Linked DNA regions of Drosophila melanogaster. The protein of the gene in region 2 interacts with the protein of the main gene of each other region in a pairwise test. Each region holds a gene or a part of one and is shown on either strand. Other genes may lie near its edges. The genes, in order: lolal, Trl, Taf3 and Bin1.

Evidence for each region.
Region 1: the proteins of Trl (region 2) and lolal interact in binary tests that used the Drosophila melanogaster proteins (3 or more experiments, as listed by UniProt).
Region 3: the proteins of Trl (region 2) and Taf3 interact in a two-hybrid assay, tested with the Drosophila melanogaster proteins (2 studies listed by BioGRID).
Region 4: the proteins of Trl (region 2) and Bin1 interact in binary tests that used the Drosophila melanogaster proteins (3 or more experiments, as listed by UniProt).

The regions. Positions count from the first base shown.
Region 1 is NT_033778.4:18,153,569-18,159,640, forward strand, and holds lolal (lola like), read right to left. Parts: upstream 4,451-6,072; 5' UTR 4,374-4,450; exon of another isoform or gene 4,192-4,373; intron 3,325-4,191; exon of another isoform or gene 3,179-3,324; intron 2,812-3,178; exon of another isoform or gene 2,598-2,811; 5' UTR 2,426-2,597; coding exon 2,324-2,425; intron 1,924-2,323; coding exon 1,837-1,923; intron 1,775-1,836; coding exon 1,580-1,774; 3' UTR 527-1,579; downstream 1-526. Other genes in the region: adp (adipose), read left to right, coding at 1-278; CG10914 (uncharacterized protein), read left to right, coding at 4,728-6,072. UniProt on the Drosophila melanogaster protein: Required, together with Trl, for maintaining the repressed state of target genes including homeotic genes Scr and Ubx. May also be involved in the activation of homeotic genes. Binds to a DNA Polycomb response element (PRE) at the bithorax complex.
Region 2 is NT_037436.4:14,754,929-14,759,680, reverse strand, and holds the start of Trl (Trithorax-like), read left to right. Parts: upstream 1-1,718; 5' UTR 1,719-1,839; exon of another isoform or gene 1,840-2,197; intron 2,198-2,344; exon of another isoform or gene 2,345-2,350; 5' UTR 2,351-2,585; coding exon 2,586-2,777; intron 2,778-4,752. UniProt on the Drosophila melanogaster protein: Transcriptional activator that functions by regulating chromatin structure. Overcomes the repressive effects of chromatin by promoting the open chromatin conformation in promoter gene regions, thereby allowing access to other transcription factors.
Region 3 is NC_004353.4:460,808-468,414, forward strand, and holds the start of Taf3 (TBP-associated factor 3), read right to left. Parts: upstream 6,022-7,607; 5' UTR 5,863-6,021; coding exon 5,694-5,862; intron 4,509-5,693; coding exon 3,990-4,508; intron 3,934-3,989; coding exon 2,248-3,933; intron 1,695-2,247; coding exon 1,581-1,694; intron 1,522-1,580; coding exon 698-1,521; intron 607-697; exon of another isoform or gene 241-606; coding exon 1-240. Other genes in the region: CG33941 (uncharacterized protein), read left to right, coding at 7,044-7,187.
Region 4 is NT_033777.3:16,185,648-16,191,516, forward strand, and holds Bin1 (bicoid interacting protein 1), read right to left. Parts: upstream 3,918-5,869; 5' UTR 3,556-3,917; exon of another isoform or gene 1,460-3,555; 5' UTR 1,131-1,459; coding exon 1,065-1,130; intron 992-1,064; coding exon 605-991; 3' UTR 509-604; downstream 1-508. Other genes in the region: CG8927 (uncharacterized protein), read left to right, coding at 1-179, 242-467. UniProt on the Drosophila melanogaster protein: Involved in the tethering of the SIN3 complex to core histone proteins. Interacts with bicoid (bcd) to repress transcription of bicoid target genes in the anterior tip of the embryo; a process known as retraction.

The DNA.
Region 1 (6,072 bases), on a different chromosome or scaffold from region 2:
ACATGTACATTTGGGAGGGAGACACGGGCAAGATACGCGCCGTTTATCGGGCGGACAGTGCCATCGTGAATTGCGTGCAGCCGCATCCGAGCATCTGCATGCTGGCCACCAGTGGCATTGACCATAACATTAAGATCTGGTCGCCGTGCGCCGCCAGCGCCGAGGAGCGACCCAATCTCGTGGCGGATGTGACGCGTTTCGTTGAGGATAACCAGGAGAAGATGCGCCTCGATCCATTCGAACTGCACACGCGCAATGCGTACTGTTTCAATAATTAGGAACTGTGGCTTATTGTGCATCTTGATCTATATTGGCTGCATGCATGTGCAACAGCAAGCGAGATCCAATCGGCAATATATCAAATATTAGTGTAATTTAAGCTAAGCGAACATATTTTTGTTAATTTGTAAACGAATTACTCTGTATACAAAGTACGAAGCTTATGAAGGATGTTATGAAAGACTATTAAAATAAATGCAGACATGCAAATCGACCGGTTTTCGAATCGTAATTTAATGAAAAGCTCAGGATGATTTGCATTTGTTTTTTTTTTTTTTTTGTTTTAATTATTCTGTTTATTTACCGTAGTTTCTTTAAATCTATGCTCACATGTATACATATACATACATATAAATATTTTACTTTATGTAATAATATTCAAGTATAGTTTTTACTCAAGTTGTATTTTTCATTCTAACGTATTTCCTTACTCTTTTGTTTAAACTGTGTAGAACTGCTAGCTTCGCACTGAAACACCTTTTCTTCGTTTTGTTATTAATACAATATATGTATGTATCTCGCGTATGATCAGAAGTTGGGGAAAAACGCGCTTGTCCACACACAATTAATTGAAGTACAATTTTGCATTTGTTTCTATTTTATTGTTTAAATATAGATGAAAATGAGTTTGTCTGTCTGGAGGCGTGGCATGTCTGGGGTTGTAGTTAGTGGCTTAAAAACTAACCGAATGTGTTGTAATATTCGCGCCCGTCGTGGCTTTTTCCATCTACTTGCACATTTCACACTATATTTATAATTATCTTTATATATTTTAAATGGATCTTCTTTAATTACTTTACAAAAGTGCGTTTTTTGTTTTGTTTCGTTTCGTTATGTTTTGTTTTGCTTTAGGGGCTGCTGTCCATATCGTTTTATTTATACAGAGTGGTTTGTATTGTTAATAATATATTACAAACTATTTTATGCAGAAATTAAACAAAAAGAATTCAAATCGAGTTCTGTGGGGTTGTCGGTAAGTGTTGTTTTTTTTTTTTTTGCAATTTGGTTGATCAGATGTGAATGAGCGGGTGTGGGAGTGGGCGGGCGGATTTGGCCTCCACCTCTACTTTACAGGCTAATCATTTCAATCTGTCCAGCTTTAGCTTTGTGTGGTCATTTGTTGGCGTTCTTCATCCTCCTCGTGCACTCTTATATGAATTTGTATACCAAATGTCGTTCTCGTAATGTTGTTTCTTTTGCCGCTGGTTGGAATTTTGTTTTCTTGCGTACATATAAGTTTCTTATAGTTGGTTGTTGTTATTTATTATGTATTTTTTGTTTCGATTATTGTTTAATACCATCAACCTTCCCGCTTTATCGAACTGGGTGTCTCTGCGAGGCCTTTCACTTTGAGGCGATCGGCGGTCTTAAGAAATGCTGGCAATTGTTCCTGGGACACGTTCACCTCACCGGCGTACATGAACTCCAGTATAGCCTGTAGGTGAATGTAGGAGACATCTTTCAGGATAATGATCGGATGCTTCGATGGGTTCTCCTGCGGGTGCATACATTACATTATCAAACGATTGCTTAGTTATTACCGCGTGAAAAACTCACCTCCAGTAGCGCTTTAAAGTAGGGACTGCAAGCGGAAAGCACCATTTTGTGGGCTTTGCAGGTTTGGCCCTCGCAGGCGAGTGTTACCTGTGAACAATAAGCATTGGGAAATCAGTAAGATCCGCCAGGCATTTTCACCGCAACAAATTGAACAAAAACGCAGAGCGAAGAACGAACACAGGTAAAAGAAAAACGAATTGAAAATAGCGTGAGGGCCAGGTATCTGCTACTCAGACCAACTGAGCTCAGCCGGTGACTGACCCTCCACAAGGGGCGGCCGCGAGCCAATCGGGCCAAGAGTAGCATAATAAACCTCAGCGCGCCCCTGGGACTGGTTAACTACAGTCGAACTTCTATGGCTTGATTTTGACTGAATTTATAAGTAACTTCAAAATATATTGACATCTAATATCATCATTCTAACTAATAGTTCGACTGCAATAGTTTTTCCATCGCCGCTTCTGGAAAGTTTCATTTGGTTACTCACATCTGTGAAGCTCTTCTCGTCGCGCAGGTGACGGAACGAGGTCACCATATTCGTTTGAAAATCGTTCCATTTTAGAAAGAACTGTTGATCCGACGACATCATGAAGAAGCTTTTGTTTTGTGGGGGCGTCGCGCTCGCTGAACAGAATGCTGGGAGGGGGGTGGGCAGGAGGCTTAATTTGGACTAGTGACCGAAAGGTTCACCGTTAGATGGTCTTAATTCGCAGCGGACCGCTTAATCCGTGGGTTTTCGCTTGGGTTTTCTTTGACGCACTCTGCAAGAGAAGTAAACAGACAGCATTAGTGAACGAACGGTAACGGCAAGGCAGAGTAAGACAAACAAACAACAGCTTGGCGAAATTAGCAGTGAACGTTACGAGAGCATTGCAAAACAGCACGTCTCTTGGCCAAAAGTATTCTGCAAATATAAATGTGCTGCGGCGCATGTGCAGCGTTTGTGCAGTGGGAAATGGGAGTTCGGAATGCACAGCGTTGTTACTCTGTACATGTGTGAGTGAGCTGGAAAATGTCAAAGTGCTGAGACAGCGCTAAATAAAAACAGCAAACAGCTGCCAGCAAAGGTTAAGCAAAGAGGCAAAAATATCAAATCGTCGCTGGCTCGCTCTGTTGAATGCCTTTCACTTTTCAAGGCAATTTCTGCATTTTCAGTCGTACACACATGTGTACTTATTGCTTATTTGAATTCGTATGCGGCACAGTGGCTTAGAACGCGGAATTAGTCTGTTGCACGCGATGCACGCTGCAGCTGCCGATGGCAATGTATTTTTAGGCGCACTCCAGTTAAATAGCATTCATTCCGTGATTTTTGACCAAAAAAGAACCAAGATGGCGGCACCATTCGCACTTCCATTCAGTGACTTTGTCTTAATTTCACTCCCACTCCATCCCACTGTGCGGCCAACATGTGTTTTTCTTCTTGAGGAAATAGCGTTGTTGTTGATGCGACTCTCATATGCGCTACACTGGCAGCCGGCTGTATGTTTCTGCGTGGGCGGGGGAGAGCAGGGCATATAGTTTGCCGCCAGAGCTTAAACTTTAGTCTCACGCTCTCTGTGTCCCTCGTTCTCTTTCGCTAAGCGCTCTCAACTTTCAACTGCCGTTATGATTTCGCAATTACATTACAACAACAACAACTTAAAAGGCAGAGCAGACATCGCTGGAAATTCAGCTGCATAAGTGTAAGTGTGTGGCTGTGTGCGAGTGTGGGTAGGCGGCGGCAACTATCTCGCTTGCTCTTGCGCCCGGGGTTATCGGTAGCTTCTTCTAGGCTGAGTGCATTTCGTTGAATCATGGATGTTGAAAGTTGTCTAATTTCCGAACTATTGATTTTTCCCCTTCCCCGTCAAGAAACTGCATTGTTGCTTCTTGAAGACCAGTTTTGGTAACATCAGGAGAATGGAAAGGAGCGAGTGAGTCGGTGAGTAAGTGAGTGAGCGATGCGAGCGACAAAATCAACAACAACAACAACAACAACGGTTCAAAACGAGTTCCAACGAAAGTTGCAACACTCTCAACAATTTGAGCAGCTCCGTTTGTTGTTATTGCATTACTCAATCGGGAAGAACTCTACACTCGACGGAATAGTGTGCTCGTCTGAGATTTATTCTATTTCAATTCTTTTCTTTTGTTTTTGGTCAGACAATGGCGTCGGCAAACGTTCGTGGAAAGCCGCAGGAACCACCAAAATGCCTGGCGTCACATTAACCGAGCCGCCTTTGTTTATGCAAATATTATTGTAATATTTGGTTAAAATTAGGTCGCGCTTCGCGTTACTTTTTATTTCATATACACGCAGCAGCAGCACGCATACAGTCACGTCACGCACACATACAATCGCCGTTCACATACACTTGTCTTTTTTCCACACACTTTCCTAATCATTTTATTTGTTGTGCGCTGCTGCTTTTTACTCGGCGTGTACTCTGTACTTTTACCAATGCGTATATCGCCTGCCGACCGCCGCAGGAGCACGCTAATTGCGCCGTGGACACGCTTTTTCTATATCTTTTTGTTTCAATTTTAATACATACACGCTTTTTTTTTGTCCCGCACTTAACTCACCTCTGCTTTCTCGCTAACGCTGCTTTCTTTTTTCTCTTTCACCGATTTCGATTTTCGATACACTCGTGATTGTTCGATATGAATCGGCCTAATTTCGATGCGTTTTGTTTTTTTCCAGTTAATGAACACAAATTAATGTACTGAAATATCTTTTATTCGATTTATAACACAAAAAGCATTGCTTGAATTGATGCTTGTTATTTTGTACGCCAAATAATATAACAATCGTTCAGATCTATCGGCTAGCAGCCCTGACTATGTAAATGGTTTCGTAGCAAACGGCTTTAGTCTGACACTGTGAGAATTCTTGTGGGCATTGCAAAATGTTTAAAACCACACGTTTATATAAAATTATAAATAAAAATGTGGTTATCACATGTTCGAGGCGGCAGAATACCGCCGCTGAAGTGGGACAGAGCTTTCGGCAGAGGGCGTGGCTGCTCGCCAGAGAGCGGTACAAGGATCATGAGCACGTTCATTACAGCTCTGTTCTGGAGACCAAAATAAAACCCTCTTTCTCGATTCCTGAGACACAACAGCATTTGCCCGACGACTGGATGGACGACTACGAGTTCTATCAGGGCGCCCAGGAGGGAGGGAATAAGCAGGGCACACCGGATCCTTCGTTACCCGCCTCAAAGGTTCCATGCAACGGCTGCGGCGCAGACCTTCATTGCACGAATGCCTCCCTGCCAGGCTATATACCAAGTGAAATATTCAGGGATAGGACGCAGCAGGAACTGCAAACGATCACCTGCAAGCGTTGTCACTTTCTGAACCACTACAACATCGCATTGGATGTGGTGGTGGCCCCATCGACCTATGTGGACACCATATCCCGCATTCAAGACAAATTTGCACTGGCTATTGTTCTGGTGGACCTTCTCGATTTTCCCTGCTCCATTTGGCCGGGCATGCAAAACATATTGGGCGCAAAGCGACCCGTCTTCCTGGTGGGCAACAAGGTCGATCTGCTGCCGCGCGACTCCAACATCTATCTTCAGCATATTAAGGATTCTCTGCAGCGCGAGTTCATCAAGCATGGCGGTGGAAATGGTCTAAATATCAAGAATGTCAGTTTGATATCCGCCAAAACGGGCTATGGCATCGAGGAGCTAATAACGCAGCTGCACAAAACGTGGGCCTACAAAGGCGATGTCTATCTGGTGGGCTGCACCAATGTGGGCAAGAGCTCGCTGTTCAACATTCTGCTTAACTCGGACTACTGCCGGCCGGAGGCCAGTGACCTGGTGCGCAAGGCCACCACCTGTCCGTGGCCGGGCACCACACTCAAACTGCTGCGGTTTCCAATCTTGCGTCCATCGAACGATCGAGTCTATCAGCGCTTTAAGAGATTGGTTTCGGAGCGCAGCGAGAAGGCGGAAATGGAAAAGGAGCGTCGCGCAGTGGCAAGGGAAACGGGTTCAGCGGCAGCTGCTCAACCAGTGGCTCCGGTTGGACGCACCTTCGATCGACGCGAAAATCTCCATGATGCCTTTGCCATGGCCGGTGGCTCGCGACCGATTACAACGCTAAACGATCGGGGCAAGGAGTACAAGGAAGCGCGTTGGGTCTACGACACACCGGGTGTGATGCAACCCGACCAAATATCTCCCCTGCTCACCGCCGAGGAGCTGGTAAAGCTGCAGCCCGCCACCATGATCCGAC
Region 2 (4,752 bases):
CGCGCCGTTCGAATTTCAAACAGTCGAGCTGGCGCACGGTGGGACAAAAGCGTTGTTTAAAAGTTTTAATGTTTTAAAGTTTCATACATTTTAATAAAATACAAAAATTTAATTTGAAAATCTTTAACTAACGTACGGCCAAACGCACTATAAAAACTAGCCAATGGAAAAAATAGTCCAGTAACGCTTATACAATTTGTTTACAAAAACCAGTTATACAATGTATTCCAAAATTTTACATAGTAATTCTATTCCTACCACTTATGTTTTGTATCCCACTGTGCTTGGTTTGCACTCATTCCTCCACCTCTGCCGAGTCACCCACCACCAACACCCCCCAGCGCGCACGCTCTCCCTCATTCTCACATCATGCTCCGTTGGTTGGTATTGCCAGCTACGAAACATGAAACATGCTCACTGCTTTAACGCCGATTGGAACTTTAAAGGGGCATTTCGAACGGCATTTCTCATGGCCCCTTCCCTGCCCAGCAGCATCATAACAGAGAAAATTGTAATCTTAAAAATTTGGACACTCGCTCACTTTATATTACTTTCTTCTCTGAGCGTTGGCTAGAAGTGCCACTCTCCTTCTCCTTCAATTCCAAATTCGACTAACTTCCCTATCGCGGGGTCTCTCCGCTCTTAAGCTGGACTTGATCTGCATACGAGAATGAGACTGGCTATATGTTTTTACCCCGTAGGGTCTCGGTCTCTGAGATGTGTCAAAAGTAACAGGTGATTGGATTGGATTCGAAAGGAGAGAGGAGAGTTAGAGACAGGGGAAAGAGAATGTAGAGCGTAAGAGCGAACCGGCTTTTCTACCATTTGTTATTATTACTTTCACAGGATCTGTTAATATTTCGGAACCGAAGAGAAACCCAGTCCCGATACATGTCTATTTTAATCTAAACCTATCAGATTCTTTTGATTCCTGTGTAACCCTCAGTAGCATTACACTTGTTCCCAGAAAAATGGAATCTGGTATCTTAAAAAGAAAACTGAAAGTAATTTATTCTGAACCCAATACCCTTCTAGATTTTGGTGATCAAACATAATAAATTGTTAGATTAGGGACTCGTTCTACGAAAATCTGCTTATCGATTTAATCATAGCTAATGTTGGAATTTATTTTTAATACAATTGCTCGATACCTTAGCTAGAATAATTCAAAAACGTTCTGAATTGTTTATCCTTCATTTTTAAACTGTAAAATTTGAGCTTATTCAGAGTGGAGTAGTATAAGAAAATGTTGAATATTTTGATACCGGATCCGATAGTTATAGAACCGGAACCTACGGATCCCGTTGACCTTTTTCTTATCGCACTCTGATATTCCAACCGGTCGGACACATGTGTTTTTCATCCGTGAAGTCGGCCCAGAATATTTCCATCATTCAATATTTACCACCTTTTATAGTTTTGTTTACTATCTTGCCGACTTTTTTGTCTTGCCGTCTTGCTCTCCTCTCCATCCTAAAAATACTCTTCCTGCGCTCCATCTGGCAATGCCGCTCGACAACTGTACTTCAAAGAGCGTTGCCAGGCAGGTCACTTCTCTCATAGATACACAGATACAGGCGCGCACGCACACCAGCACGCAAAATAACCACCACCAGCAGTACAGAAATTACACATTTTCTCCCCGAGTAGAGAACTGAAAAACTGGCCGCGCTGGCAGCGCCGGAGCAGCGAAATTCGATCGAAACCATTTACTCAGTCTCAGTTCGAGTTATCCAACGTTGGCGAGCGGACAAACAAGCAGGAGAAAAAAGCGTACGGGCAAGAGAAAGAGAAGGCACAAAATCACCCACAGCCACTGAAATTTTCTTTTGCGCTCCGGTGAGAAGATAATTTCACAAACCAAAACCGAACCAACAAACAAAAAAAGTGCGCTCCGTGAGCGGGAAAACAATAACAAAATCAAGAGACATGCGATTATAAAACGAACAAAATAACTGAGTGACAAAAAAAAATTAAATGCGTGTCTCATGGCTTGACTGTACTGTGTATTAAAAAATGTGATTGTGTCGGCTGTCCGTCTGTCTGAGTTTGTGCGCGTGTGTGTGCTGTTGGCGTTTTTAAATGTGGCGCGCTATTTTTGTGTGATTTTTGTGGGCAGCAACGAATTTTGAAACATCAATTGTATACTAGTTGTCAGTCCCCTTGTGAAAAAGTCTTCTCCAACAACAAAATTCCTGTGAGCAGCCTACACACATGCGTTGTCTCGCTCTCGCGCGCTCTGGCCCCCAAAGAGTGCGAGAGCGGGAGAGTGAGACCGAGAAAGAGAGAGAGAGAGAGAGAGCTAATAACTAACGTCTGTACTCTTTTTCTTTTCCATTTTTCATTTCAGTTTCGAGAAAGCAGCGCGCCAAGCAGCAAGAAGAGGAAGAGCAAAGGGAGTTGGAAAAGCAGTGGCGTCGTGGAGGAGGAGTAGAAAGGGGATTTTTGCGAAAAATCCCAACTTGAAGAGAATTTTCCCCGTAACCGTTAAACATTAAATCGTCGTGTTGGAGACAAATAGCAGCGAATACGCTAGCAACGCTGGGGAGGAACAACAATTGTTGGATTTGGACGCGACCGCTTTGATGTCGCTGCCAATGAATTCGCTGTATTCGCTCACCTGGGGCGATTACGGCACCAGCCTCGTATCGGCAATCCAATTGTTGCGCTGCCATGGCGACCTCGTCGATTGCACGTTGGCCGCCGGCGGGCGGAGTTTTCCCGCCCACAAGATAGTCCTGTGCGCCGCCTCCCCCTTTCTGCTGGACTTGCTAAAGGTAAGTGCTCGGTTCGGAAACACTGCCTAAAACACCTTTCAATAAGAGAGCTTGTACATAACCTCAAACGTTTCGTACAGTTTGTAAACAGAGAAATCCAATCGCAGAAATAGGTTAATGTTTGGAGCGCAGAGAAACTGACACTCGCACGCAAATGCATACATATGTATAAATAACGCAGATTTACGCTCCGCTCCAAAAGTTGTCTAGAGATTTTTGTACAAGTTTTCCACTGTCAATTGAGTTGAATGAGTGGCTCCGCCCCCCGCATTCCCGCCGTCTATCTTGCTTATCAGCTTTTTCTTGTTGCAAAGTTCACCGGAGAACGAGAGAGTGAGACGTAGAGACAGAGCGCAGACAGAGAGGGAGAGAGCGAGAGAACCAGTTGGTTCGGTCGACAGAAAAGTGGTTTTGGGCCCGGTGGTGTAACAGAGAGGGGAGAGCCGAAAGCTGGTGCGCCAACTTTTAAATCGCATGTGTTAGAGCGAGCGCAAACGAGAGCGCCAAAAGCAGCGCGGCAACTGTTGTAGTTGTTGGATGGTTGGAGCTTTCGTCTTGCCTTTTGGTTCTTGCTGTTGTTGGGTGCACACGAGCGCGACCTCTTTCTTCACAGACAGAACTGTACAGTTGGCTCTGGCTAGGGGGAACTTGAAATATTGGGGGGAATATGGATACATATACAAAGATAATTAAAATTAAATTTGTATTGATTGGTTTGATTTCCTTAACCCATTTCCTAAGCTAAGTCTTTTGTATTTTGTATGTCACCATTTTAGATTGCTAGATTGATTGTCTAACAGCAAACTTCGCTCAATTAAAAGTTCCTGGACTTTAATAGACTTATCTACTTCAAATCTTTATTTAAACTTATAACATAGTGACCAAGTCCAGATTGTACCAAAGATAAGCAAGCCTGTCTGGTGCGCTTCCCTCGTATCGAATCCAACCCGTATTTCTATAAACTAAAGCATTTCATATTAGGAAGGCGCACTTTTAAATGGAGCTTGCAAGTTTTTTCATGAGCTGTATTGCGATACTGTACTTTTTAACAACTCATTTGCACTTTAACTTTGACGCTTTTCCGCCACTCTGTCGATTGTTCAAAGTGTGCGCTTAAGTATGAAAGTTGGACCGTCTTCAATGCGTGGCCCTATCGTAATGGAAATACTGACCAAAACAGAGCGCGGCCAGCGAAATGAAAACACCTGATGCGACGCCGACAGCGGCTACTCTGCGCTTCGCTCCCCCTTATTCTCAGCGCTCCTCATCTCTCCTCTCCTTTTCTGGGCCGTGAAAAAGTAAACAGAGCGAAATTTTTGAAAACGCCGCTCAGAGCCGTCGTGGGGAAATGTCAAAGAAAAAAAAAAAAAAACAAAAAGAACGGGACCAATGCGGCTGTGAACTCTGCAAGAGTCCGAAAAGTACAAGATGTACTGATCTCGTTACACTCACACACGCACGCAAAAACACATGGCGGTCGCTCTTTGTTGCTCTTGCTCCCTCTCCCTTGCTCCTACGGCAAATGGAATGCAACTCTGAAAAATCGATGAGCGAGACTTTGGTTGGAGGCAGAGTTCAAAGAGCGCAAATGGGAGTGCGGTGAGATGTGTCATTTCAAGAGATTGGCATTGGATGAAGGGAGGGTGTTGGTTGGTGAGTCCGTAAATGGAGAGGGGTTGTTTTCTGAGCAATGCTATATAATTAAATGTTTGGAGCGGGAGCGGGAGCGGGAGAGGACACAGAAGAAGAACAGCTAAGCGCTCTTTCTTTAAGCGCTGCTCTGTTTTCTTTTTCAGCATCTGAAATCTCAAAATCCTGCTGCAGAATGTGCAGAGCGCGCAAAAGTAAAAGCCGGTTGTCTTTTGTCTGTGTCACTGTGTGCGTGAGCGGAGGAGAGTGTGAGCGACGCGTCGCACCGCGAGTTTCCATTATTTCCATCTCCGTCCGACTGTTTTTGTTATTGTTTTTATTTGGA
Region 3 (7,607 bases), on a different chromosome or scaffold from region 2:
AATCGTGGTTTGCTTTAGTTTCCCTGCATCTGTCATCTCCTTTTCTGAAGACGAAAATAATGTAGATTTTCCACTAAGTTTTAGTGTTAGTTTTGGTATTTGATTTGGAGATATTCCACTTGTGGCGGCACCTAACGATGGATTTATTGTCATGGAACTTGATTTCAATACAGGTTCATCGTTGTTAGCTAAAGGCACCTTGTCAAATTCTTCTGTGTCATCTGGTATATGGACTAAAATCTAAAATAAGAATTGATTAAACTATAAATTTAACTTTAAAAGATTTTGCTGAGATATGTGTATAGACTAAAATAAAATTTGTAAGAACTAAAAATATAACTTTAAAAGATTTGGCTGCTTTACATGTTTATGTAGGATTAAGATGTTTTTGTACCTATACCAAGCTGTAGGCTTCGATGTTATAATTAGTCACAACAGTCTATATAAGTATTAATACAAATTTGGAACATAATGTATAATGTATAATGCATAATGCATAATTTAATGTTATTATACGGAATATGTTCACAGAATTCATGATTTTAAAAATGTTTCCCACATAACTTGCTGTTTTCAAATGAGTTTGTGTACGTACTTATCGCAAAGGTTGCTTATCAGCTCCGGCGTATCTACATATCTGATCCAAATACCACAACACGAACACCTATTTTTTTATAAATAAAGAATTGACACAAACCTGCTTATCTTTATCCTTTTTCTTTTCTTTTTTTTGCCTTTTATCATTGGCCTTTATTTTCCGGTCGGATTTGAAAGATGGTAAGCCAATCTGATCCGCTTTCTTTGATTTGTCCTTTTTCTCTTTCTTTTTTTTATTTTTCCCTTCTTTAACCTTTTTTAGCTTTTTGTGATGTTTCCGCATTTTCGGTTCCAACGACGTTAATCCAGTTGGTGTTATTGTAATATCTTCGTAGTTAGAAAAGGTAGAAAAAATATTGTGCTCTTCTGAAATTTTGATTTGATTCGGTATGGTTCCACCTAAGCTACTGAATGGTACTATTTTGGAGGAATATTCCGAATCACTCACTCTCGACAGAGGAATAAGATCTGCTCCCCCAGCTAAACTGAATTTGTCACCTCCCATAAAATTAGGCAAGTTAAATTGTGGAAATGATGAATGTGAAGCTGGCGTGTGGGGTACGCTTTTTACATCGGGAAAACTCTGTTTAACAAGTTTTTTAAATTTTTTAAGTGGTTCGTTAGAGCTTAGAGACACAATATTCCTTAGATCCATTTTGGATTTTTCTTCACCATTAGATGCAGCTGACGTAAACGAGGAGGGATTTAGTTCTGCGAAGCTGGTTTTAACATAAGTTGGTGATGATATTGGGGTTTTTCTTTGAACCATCTGCCTGTTGTGCATTGATTCATCTGAATCATCTGAAACCTCTATTGGATCATCAGGATTTCCAGAAGCCTCCAAAAGCGGTTTCGTGTTTATTTTGCTTGTAGCCTGTGCAGATGGGTTTTCCAATATTGTGCTGGCACAAGATACGCTTTTACCTACAGATATAAGTAATAAGTTATTTTTAAATTACAAATATATTTACCGTTAAACTTACACTCGGCGAATTTCATTGAGTCAGGTACTAATGGAGCAACATTGCAGTAGTTTCGATCCATTTGCAAGTCAGTTTGCGTGGAAGATCGGCTCAGAAATTGATCAGAATCAGTAACTAAAAATTATTTTTTCTAATCATTATAAATATTTAAATATTTTGGTCGACAAATAATTCACATATTGTAGGTAGGTACGTATTGTCAATATAAAAAAAAAATTTGAGCTCCTCCAAATATCTAGTTTATGACAAACGCAAATATTTCATACTAACCCATCTAGAAGCTTCCCAATACCACTTCTTGAGTGTGTACCTATACCTATTTTCTACATTCAACGGTTCAATGATTAGTTTCAGATTAGTATTTTTGCTGTAATGAATTAAGATATTGCCGAGACTTTTATGTAAGCAATATATTCTTCGAGCTGTGATACTCGAACTGGTATGGTAAAGTAAAGTTTGGGTCAACAAACTTCAGCTGGGTTTATGTCTCTAGAATCTTTATGCTTAATCTCAACCTACTAGCTTTTTATAGTTCATGAGATCTCGACGTTCATACGGACGGACAGGACAGGATCAGATCCACTCGGCTATTGATCCTGGTCACGAAAATATATACTACGTATATATACTACGAGCAATGCGTATAAAAATAACTCATTTGACGTACCAGGAGAATCCTTAATTGGTGGACATCGAACAGTATCCGCAACTGATTCTTCTGGTCCAGGATAATCTATGAACGGCGAAATAGGTATTCTGTTACCGTGATTCCCGAAGCCAACTAAACCAGTGACTGCAGGAAAAAGCCCAGGTCCAGTAGGAATAAGACCAGGTCGTGGTGGAAATTGCAATAAAGGAAGCAACGGAACCATTCCTGTTTGAATTCCAGGGTAAATTGATGCATTTGACAAAGCATTGGATATAGTCACAAATTTATCTGAACATTGTACATCATTATTTTGTTTTGTGGGTCGAATAGAATTATGTAGTGTTGATGCCTTTTCAGGAGAACAGCTCTTGTCTAATTGCATTACATTTTCTGGTAATGATTTGTACTTTTTTCTGTCCTTTTTTTCTTTTGCATACAGGTTTGACAAAAAATTATTCGAGGGCTGTTCGGTATTACACAAGTTGAGAGGTTCTGTTGGCGGGGAGACGTTTAAAGAACTTTGGGTTATTATCATTGGAGATGATGATAGAGGCAGTGTAATAGCTTGGCTTGACTTTTTCCGTTCGACCTTATTAATTAAAGGTTGCGATACAACATTTGTTTGTTTTATTACATTTTTTCCTCCAGGTTTGCGACCTCGCTTTTTTGGCTTTGGCGAATCAATAATTGACATTTCAACGCCTGCTTTAGTTAAAGGTATAGTTCCATCGAATATATTGCAAGGGTTGATTTTCATACTCGGAACGTTTTTGTTTTCAGAATTTAGACCAAGTGAAGGTGTAGGAGTTATAGTAGTCCCCGATGGAAGACTAATTAATGCTGAAGGGGTCATTGTGCTTCCAAATACAGATACCCCGGTTCCAGGAGGTACTAAAGTCGCCCCAATATCTGGACGTGGAGTACGTGGCTTAGAAATTTTCTTAAAAATGTCCAATTTACTTCGTTCTGGTTCTGATCCACTTTTTTTTTCTGCCAATAGCACTTGCGTTTGTTGAATTACAGATGGCTGCACTGGATAAATTGAATTTCGAAAATTATTTTCAATCTGGCTTGTTACTGTTGGCGGCTGACTAGGGATATCAGCTTGTAAAGCATTTTCATTTGAGTTAGCTTTTATGGCAAGGCCGCTCGTAGTTTGAGAATTCTGCAAAAAGTGTTTTTCGTCGATGTCCAGTTGAAGATCATTTTGCTTAAGTTTGGACTGCTTCTTAAATATTTTTTCTAAATGTTTTTTATTTGGATCGAAGGATCCGCGGTTAAATTTTTTTTTTAACTTTTTCATGTTTTGTATTTGATTAATTGAGCTGTCTCTTTGGTTCTTTGAGGTTTGTTTATACATTTTTAAAGCTTTTCTCTGTGACTTTTCCTGAGCTTTTTCAAACGGATTAGTTAGAAGTTCGCTTTGACCGGGTTCGCATATTAAATCATGTTTCTGTTTTCTATTCTTCTTAGGTGTTGTAACAGTTAGCATCGTATGGTTGTTAGACGCATATATTATTGAAGACTCTGAATGTCCACTTGTCAATAATGCAGCATTTTGTTTGAAGATTTTAGTTTCTGAGGGAATGATTTTTCGTGGATTTACTGTTTTGTCTCTGTCAGAAAGCGCCAGTTGTGGAGATTTTTGTAACGAATTTACAATTATCGTCGGTGAAAAGGGTGCATCCAAACCTAAAAATTTTTCTATAAACACCGATACATGAAAATTTATTAAGCTGTGGTATAAGGATAGGTCGTACCAACTATATCCGGTATGATATCTTCGGGGAGCTTGCCTTCAATAGCTGGACTTATGAATCCCCCTGTTGTCATTACCACGCTGCTCATTTCGCGGACTGAGCTCCCAACGTCCAATTCAAAGGCATTCGACCGGAAATTTATCACAGTATTAGGAGAGATAGAATCAATGTGCTTGGCGCCTAACTTATCAGCTGCGTTTGTTGAACTATACTCTGCTTTTGAACAAAACTCTTGCTTTTCCGAAAATTCCTTTTGAACATCGGCTGGAATTTCACGAAGTTCGGGGTCCTGCATTGGTGGCAAGTATTCAAATATGTAGACAGGTCGCGTTAGAGTTTCAGCGCTTCCAGGCTTAAGGAAGTTCATGTTTACAGATTTTCCAATGGGAAACTGTGGTACATCCCGGATGAATCCAACAGGCTCGACATTACCTATGTAGTCCAATAGTTCTTGAACATTGATGCTGAGATTTTTTATACTTAAGCGTGCATCCTTAAGGTTCGGCTCTATCCGATTTGCTAAATTAGTAATATATATACTTGTCAATTAATATTTTTATAAATTTTATCCAAATAAACAAAGCATTTTTGATTTTTTGTTTGGTTTTAATAAGATTTTTTTGAACTCATATAAATAACGTTATTAAGTAACATACCAAGCAAAATTAAAAAGAAAATATAAGAGAACGCTTTAGTCGAGTTCCTCAACTATTTATTTTTATTTCTGTTCCGGTGGTTACAAGGAAGATATATCTTAATCTAAGATATATCTTAATCTAAAATATATCTTAATCTAAGATATATCTTAATCTAAGATATATATAAATCAAAGATTTATTGTTTTTTTTTTTTTGGTGTTTACAAGACAATTAATGAAATAATAATTTGCAAAAAATACAATCTACATGCCTATTGAGGTTTCATAATCCCCAATCGAGACCCCGGCAGTCCCACAATTCATCGCTCCTTAAAAACATCCCAAGATCATCGGTTTCGCCCACAGTACCAACTGCTTTGGCTGCACAGCCACAAGCAGGGAATCAGCAATAAATTATGGATCTTTTATTTCCAGCCGAATGCTAAGCTGACGCTCTAAGTCGCCGAGCACATAAGTTTCGTAAGAAACTTTAAATTTTTAATGCGCATCGGAACTAGAGAAATTATATACTGATGTAGGTGAAAGGGACTGGGCGAGGAAAAGGGAAATAACAATAAAAGAAAGAAATAAATTAAAAGATTACTTTTCTAAGAGGCACGCTTCCTTTTTCGCGGATAACTGGGACTAGATTTATGCGAGTAGCAGGCGCGAGCTTAATCAGGAAATTCCAATGGCAATGGATTCATTTTACACGCAACAACACGTACTACTCGCAGAAGCGATGTACATTTTTCGTAATACATTTCTGTACACATTATACTAATATATTTTACTTTAAGGTTAAACGGACAGGTTGACCGGTATTCTAACGCAACTGAAAGCAAAATGCCCTAACTCCAAACAAAATTGTTTTAATGATAAATAATGATTTATTAATGATAGTCTGATGGAACTGCAGGGATGATAAGTTATACATTTATGTACATGTACATATATGTCACATACTTTTTATTGAATCTCTTATTCTACAAGTAACGACTATAACTACTCAGGCTTTGTTGTATTTCATGATCGGTTCCGTTGATTTGAGGGTCTATACCACTTACCGTGTTCCATATGTCTATGCATGTCTCGAGCGAACTCCTGTACAAACTTCTGCAATATGTCTTGCAACAACTCCAAGGGTGCACTTAGAGTGCAGCTGTAACCAATAGTTTGCGTTATCTGCGCAACGACAACAAGGGCCAAATCTGAAGCGTATCTGTCTGCCATCATGTTCTTTCATGAGGTACACCTTCTTTAGAAAACCTTGGAAATGCTGTGAATAGGTTTAACCGTCCCACGAACTTCCTCTTGTTATTAAAATTAATTGACTTGGTGTCTACACCTTTATTAGACGAACTACAATCTGTGGATGTTTAGTTAACGATAACTTATCGATTTTGCCTTTGATGGGAAATATATCGATATTTGGGGTATGCCAAAAGTGGTAATCATGGGGTTCAATCAAATTCAATTGATTGACCAACATAAACAAACTGCAATTTTTTATGTGGTTTGAAAGTGGTTATAAGGGCAGATAAAAGGTTTGCTTTCGGTATGTTCGCTGTTAGTGTTCGAATAAGACACAAATTTTGAAAATAAGACGAAAAAGTTTTCTAATCCTTCTATTCTTTAAAATAGATATTGAACGATGGAAATATAATTAGAGCTTGTTTAATAATAGAGCGCTTGAATGCAGAGTGAAACGAGAGTCTTGTGTTGTTACCCGTAAAAATGTTTTAGTTTTACTACTACTATTACTATTATTACTACGATTACTTACTACAAATTTTAACAGCATCTAATGTTATGTTTATTGTGGAAAGAAAGTAATGCCCAGAACAGCTATGAAATTACCGAATAAATAATAATATAATTATAAATATAAATAATATATATAAATATAAATTTAATAAAATAACATTAAGCCTAAAATCGCTTCAAAAATATCATGTGAACTATATCCCAAACATGTGTATATATGCAGGTAATTTAGTGGAAAGAGGGTATAATGTATAATGACACAAAACTACTGATAGAATACTAGTTATATTTTCGATCAGTTTAGAAGAAACTTATATCTTAAGACATTTATTGGGTTAGGTATTGTTTCCCATATATGTTCTAGTCGAGTATTCACACAAAGAAGCGTGCGACAGATCTTCGGCACTTAATATTTTGTATTTGTAATAATGTAAAATATAAAAATTAACAAATAAAACAACTATATGAACATTTGCATGTGTTGGGTATATGTGTAAGTCTAATAAAAAGTTTTATTCTACTTAAAGCTCAAATCCTTTAAACTTTTCAGCTAGTTATTGAAATACTCAGTATAAATGAGTAAGAAGATCTCCATCAACATTGATCTGACCAACGTTTTACTCCTTTTTTAATCTAATAAGAACTAAAAAATGCAACCATTGAACTCGAGCATTGATAAAGCAAAACATTTTTTCATAGAGAGCGGGATCTTAGGACCCGTTAACTTTAAATATTCTCATGACATGATTCGGAAGACGTCTACCATTCACATTGACGAAACTCTTAAGAATCAGGTAAGGGTGGATAATCTGATTCCCAACGAATACACGTTTACACCTATGTTAACCATAATAGGTGTATAGGTATCGTATTTCCTTACATATACTGAAGATTTCATATGCAGTCGGTCAGTTATCGAGTAACTGGTTAGTCCGTCTGACTATCAATCTGAACGCTGTGATCTCGGGAACAATGAAAACTAGAATATTGATATTAAGCATTAAGACTCAGTCACAGAGTCTGTAAGAGTTTGTTTCATGCCGTTGCGACGCTTGCTCCAACGACGACGCACCCTCAATATTCATACGGTCACAAAAAATCAATCAACCACTAGCAAAAACACGAATACACTTCAGTGCGCAGATTTCTCATTTTGCGCATAATGTACGAGCTCAAAGAAGCTGGAGTCGAAAAAATGGAATTTTTGAAATTTA
Region 4 (5,869 bases), on a different chromosome or scaffold from region 2:
GATCAAAATCAGCTACAGGACGATCACGTTGACCAGCAGCAGCAGCGTCGCCGTCAGCCCGTTTCCCAGACCATTCGCAAGTGGCGTGAGGAAAACGAGGACGGAAGCATCACATGGGGCTATGAGAACGACGACGGATCTTTCAAGGAGGAGCTGATCGGCACCGATTGCATCACCAAGTGAGTAAAACAGATTGAATCCAACCTCTTTCTCCCACTTACCCAAACTTCTCGTTCACCAGGGGAACCTATGGCTACGTTGATCCAGATGGCAACAAACGTGAGTACCACTATGAGACTGGAATCAAGTGCGATCCTAACAACCGCAACAACGAGGAAGAGCTACAAGAGAACGGGTTCGTCAACTACGAAGAGAATCGCGCCGTGCTGCCCAATGGTCTGGAGATCGACATGACGCAGTTGGGCAAGAAGAAGTCGAAGCGCCCGAACGGCTTTTACAGGAACTGATACTCCCCACAACATATAGTCCCTTAAGTCAAGCAGCTCGTAGTTCGTCTTACTTGTATTCCACTTATAATTATGTTCATACTCCATTGAGTGTCAAGTGAAAGATTAAAATGATTAGAATAGATGAAAGTGAAGAATCAGTACGGACGCTGGCGCCTGGCGGTTGGCGGCAGTCGGTTGGGCGGAGTAATCGAGATGTCCAGAAAGTCTCCAATGCTGAATTTGGCCTGAGCAAGTGTCTTATTATCATCGATTCCTTTTTGACCCGTGCAGGTCACTCCGATTTCGCGCATCTGGAAGTGATTACTCCGGAAGTTGGGGTACACGACAGCAAAGTCAAAGTAGGTGCCCTTCTTCCGGGTGTCCGGATTGACGTCTCGCACCAGAGAGGTCAGTTCGTGCAGGGTGGCGTCTTGCCAGGTGTAAATCTGAAGCTCGTTGGTGGGCACGTTGCCGAACATATACTCCGACACGGAGTGGTGTCGTCCCGTAGAGCAGAAGACACGGAGCAGCATAGGACAGGTCTGGAAAATACATAAACTTATTAACACATCTAGAGCAAACGCGAAGTAAACATGACCGGGGTCACAAACAAACCTTCTCGCGGTCAATCTGCTTGACCTGCGTCTTTTCCTCCACAATCATAGATTCCACGTTGGCCATGTCTCCCTATTCTGCGGTATATCGTTACTAATTTTCTTAATTTTAATACAAAATGCACTTTTAATGCCGTATATTCCGGCTTCTCTTTGCTCTTTTCGATAACTATATAATCGAATGCAGCAATCCTATCGCACATCGCCGAGTGTGACCGCTTGTCGCATACTTATCGGGTTTTAGTTTAATCGATGTTTCCAGAAGCACCAAAATTCGCCGTTTCTCAGCTCTAGTCCGAAAACAAAATTCGCTGTGAGCGGTTGTGTCGTCGAACGTGAAACTACGCGTCTCCGCGAATGACGCAGACTGGAAGCTTCCACTGGCATGACAATCGTCTAAAAACATTCAACAATAGCGGTGCACTTGCAAATTACTGTTGCCGCAACAACAATAACAACTGCTTCGCTAAGCAGTAGCTGCGACCACAACAACAAGGAGGAGAGCAACAACAACGGTGGAGAAGAGCCGTTTGTTATTGGCGCATAAAAGCAGAATCGCAATTTGGCCACTGAATAGTTTCTAAAAACGGTGAGTACATTGTGGCAGCGGTCCATTTGCATACCGAATTGAGATTTGCACTTTTTGCAAGAGTTTCTTATGTAACGGCAACAGCAGCAGCAGCAGCAGCTGAGTTTTACGTGCAAATTGTTGCCGTTGCTTTGCTTGTGTTGGTGCCGCAGCGTCTGCGAAAAGTCACCCTCTTTGCAACCACCCTTCACCCCCCCTCATATTTCATTTATGCATCGCTCTCTCGCTCGATTTGTTTATAAACATTCAGGAATAAGCCGCTGCTAAATACTGAACTGTTTTTATCTCAAGAAGTACAAGGTTATCCCATCCCCAGCCACCCACTTTCGATCTCCTCATTTTTATGCATGCGCCATCATTTGCCGATAATAGTGCCATTCTGTTTGTTGTTCTAAATGTTCTAGTTATTGCAGTAGCGTGGAAGGTGTGGTCATATGGTGGTTTCTATTGTGTCAACAAGGAATCAGTTTCCCAAAAGCTGCATATTTGTTTTTATTTTTAGTCAAATACCAAGAAATAAGTCAATCCAGACATTTGATATTTTTAGAAACGGAATAAACCCCGTTTAAGTGCACAGAAACAGAATCTGTGATTACCCTGGTAAAAGAAAAACACTAGAAGGGGAAAATACCCCACTTGAATTAACCCCCTGCTAAAGGGTATTTTCGCTTCGGCGTGTCTGAATATTTTTAGTTGGCTCGTGTTTTAAAGTCCTCGAATCCACTCCCACCTCGTTGATCCTGCAGCAGCTGTTTTTGCCACAGTTCCTGCTGCTCTTGCGTGGGAGCAGAATGTTTGTTGTTCCTGCTGTTGTTATTGAATCCCCCCTCCCCCCCCTTCGTCCTTGGCCATTGTTCTGTGGACTCGTTTTGGCCGGAGCGGAGGGGTTGCAGCCGTGACCGTGACTGACTGCCCGTAACCCCAGCAACGACCACATAGTGGACGATGTTATTGTTATCGCATACTTTGGTAACCAGTGCACTGTGGTCGGGATGACCAATATGAAGTAAGACGCATTAAAGCTGTTTCTTTAGTCACTTTAAAAAATGAAAAATTTATAAAGATAATACTCAGCAATACTTCTGCGACAAATTCACATTCGTAAATTATTCAAATTTGACAAAACAACGGAATGTTTAAAAACTTTATAGTCTTTTTAAGTTAGAATAAGTCTTAAGTTCTAGAAAGACCCCACGAAGTTGAAGAAAATGTACTTTAAGTGAAGTAAGTCTTCAGTGGCTTCAGTGGAATCGTATGTACTCGAATCGGAAGGTGGGTAAAGATGTGAACAATAAAGTAATATGTTTTTCGAAATTAAATTCCGCCCACTGTCCGTGTTCGTTGCTGCGGCTGCTGGCTGAATTTTAAACGTGCCAAGTCCTTGGTTGTAAACTGAAGACGTGCGGTGTGGGGCGATTTGTTGCCACTGTTGCGGTCGCTTTGTTGCTGCCGCCTTACTTCGTTTTCGTTATTTTTTCTCAAATATTAATTGCTTTGAGCAACAGTAGAAGCCCTTGGCTACTGCTCCAAACCCAATCACTTCGAATTTCCGAAAATTCCCCAAGCAGCAGCACAACGAGTTTGGAAAAGTGGCAAGGCGAAGCAGACGTAACCGAAAGCAATAAATTCACAAATGCAAATAAAATGCGAGCTTTGCTTCAACTCCTGTTCTGTATACATATGTATTTGATTCTATTTTTTACCCGGCCAGTTGACAGGGGCGTGTGCGTGGGCGTTTCTACTGCCAGCCGCACAACACAATGTCCTGGGTGTAAGTCTCGACCTTGGCTTTGCATAGCGACCTTTCGCCAATGCCACAATATATCCCCATTCCTACCCATATCCCTATTCCCCGAATGCCCAGTGGTGCCCACTTGTTTGTAGCGAGGACAGATTTACTTGCCATTTCCAATCCGGGGAATCCATTTCGCAGCCAGCTGTTCAGACTTTCAGATAAAGTGCACGCTTAAGAGAATCATGACAAATTAATGCTTGTGAATGAAGTGGCAAATCATCGTTTCATGGCCAAAAAGGTCGTATTCGAAGAAGATCTAGAATTAGATATTGGAAAGAACCTGCAGCAGATGGCTCATATTAGAAATATCTAAGAAATGTGGCTGGTTATTAACGTATAATTCCATTAGGGTCTTGAGCACTATTGTATATGTCGGCGAAACAGGAGTCTCATCCATATTATTTATTCACTTCGCGATTTTGTACGTCAGCGCAGCAAGTTCCGATCGACGTCAGCAGTCAAACTTCACTGAAGGGATCTTCTTACATGTCCCTTCTTCATCATATTCTCTAATGGCTATACACACTGGCGTGTGCCACATTGTCATCTCTCTCTAACACACTATTTATGACCACTCGATCGGACCTCACTCAGCTGCAGAGGCTGTTCGTGCCTCTGCCGCAGCGCTCGACAGAATTTTACCGCAATATTACAATTTCATCAGAATATGAAATCACAGAAGGAATTTCTGGAATGCGAAGAGTCGCGCTCCGACATATACAATCATGCTGATAATAACATTGATTTTATTGCACATTTAATTGCCTTACATTGTATTACACTTTCTAGCAGTATTCAAGATTATCTCCTATTATTTATAGCAATTTGTTAGTTGTTACTCATGCATAATGGCGACTTAATATTATATTTTAAAATTGTTTTTTTCTTATGTTAATCTGGATTACCACCCCACTTCGTGATTAATTCTGAGCGGAGAACAAAAACACTCTGATAAATTAAGTTGTAAACAACTACTTTCGAAAAGCAATTAAAAAATTTATTTACAGTATTTCACGATAAGGCGAATAACAAAACCATTAACTTGTTAATGTGCCGGTACAAACTATTTCCTCTAAAATGTTATCAGTTATCTGATTACGGGTTGATGTGATTGATTCCAAATATAAGTTGTTAAAGATTGAGTTATTTTAAGAATACCCGCTGATAACATTTCCTTTTGTGAAATTTATTGAACGGTCGTTCAATAAAGAATTGCCGAGAGCATTCTGATTACCATTCTGCTGCAAAAAACACTCGAAAACAACCCGTCTTTAAGAGACTGCAAAAGGCCAAGGAAAGATCACTCGTCTGTGCCTTTGATTGCGAACGACCACTGAATCGATGGGAGAAAGATATGGGAGTGCGTATATGTGGCCAGAAAATTATGTATACGCAGCGTTTCCTCATTGAGAGGCGCTGCTGACGCAAAATAAATGAAACGATTTTAAAATAAAAGCAACTCATAATTTTTGCCCCTACGATTGGTGCCTGTGTTGTCGCGTCTGTTGTCCATTTTATGCTATTTCTGTTTGCGTTCGCTTTTGTTTTGTTTTCCATCTTCTTGCCTTTTTGCCAGGGTTTTGCCAATTGATGAATTGAATACGTACAGACCGCTGCCGTCGGCTCTTTCGTCAATTGGCTTGACTGGATCTAGCTGCAGTTTGCACTGACGTCACGTCCCAAAAGCAAAAGTGCCCCTAACTCACTTAACACATCGGCCTGATTGGCAGCGACGTCGATTCCATTCGACTGTATATGCGCGCATACGTATGTTCTGCTTGACTTGAGGTATACTTGAGTTGTAAATGTCTCAATTAACCATAGTAACAATAGCCAAATGTTATCTATGGAGTCTAAATACGTCCATTTGGTGCGTCAGTGGGGACTGTCGTCGCGATAAGAAGCGAATCGAGGGAACTACCGTGGCCATGATTTACGATAACCAGCGGGTTTCAACCGGTTGAACTCAACATTGAACTGCTGATAACACTTGCTTAAAAGCGATTTATTGGAATATTTGCTGAACAGGATTTTAATTCCTTCCTTGCTTGGAAGCAAGAACCACTGTAAACTTTTGGTAATCTCTTCATCCTACCCAAATCACCGAATTTCGGCAGCACATGTCGGCGATGGCGGCTCCTAATAGAAATCGCTTTTGCATAGCCAAGTTGGCCCAAACTATTTTCATGTCAAAGCGCTGACAAGACGGGCGCACACAGAAACCTACAGATACACAGATACATTTGCACTTGGAGCCGCACAGTTGCGAGTGACAGTCGACAACAAAGGGGCTGGTCGAATCAGTTTGAGTCTGAGGCAAGTGAAAACTCCTCGGAATCGCCCAAGGACTTTGAGTGATAACAATCCAATTTGTAAAAGTAGTGGGCGGGGATGGATGAGCTGTTATGGTATGTGTATGGGG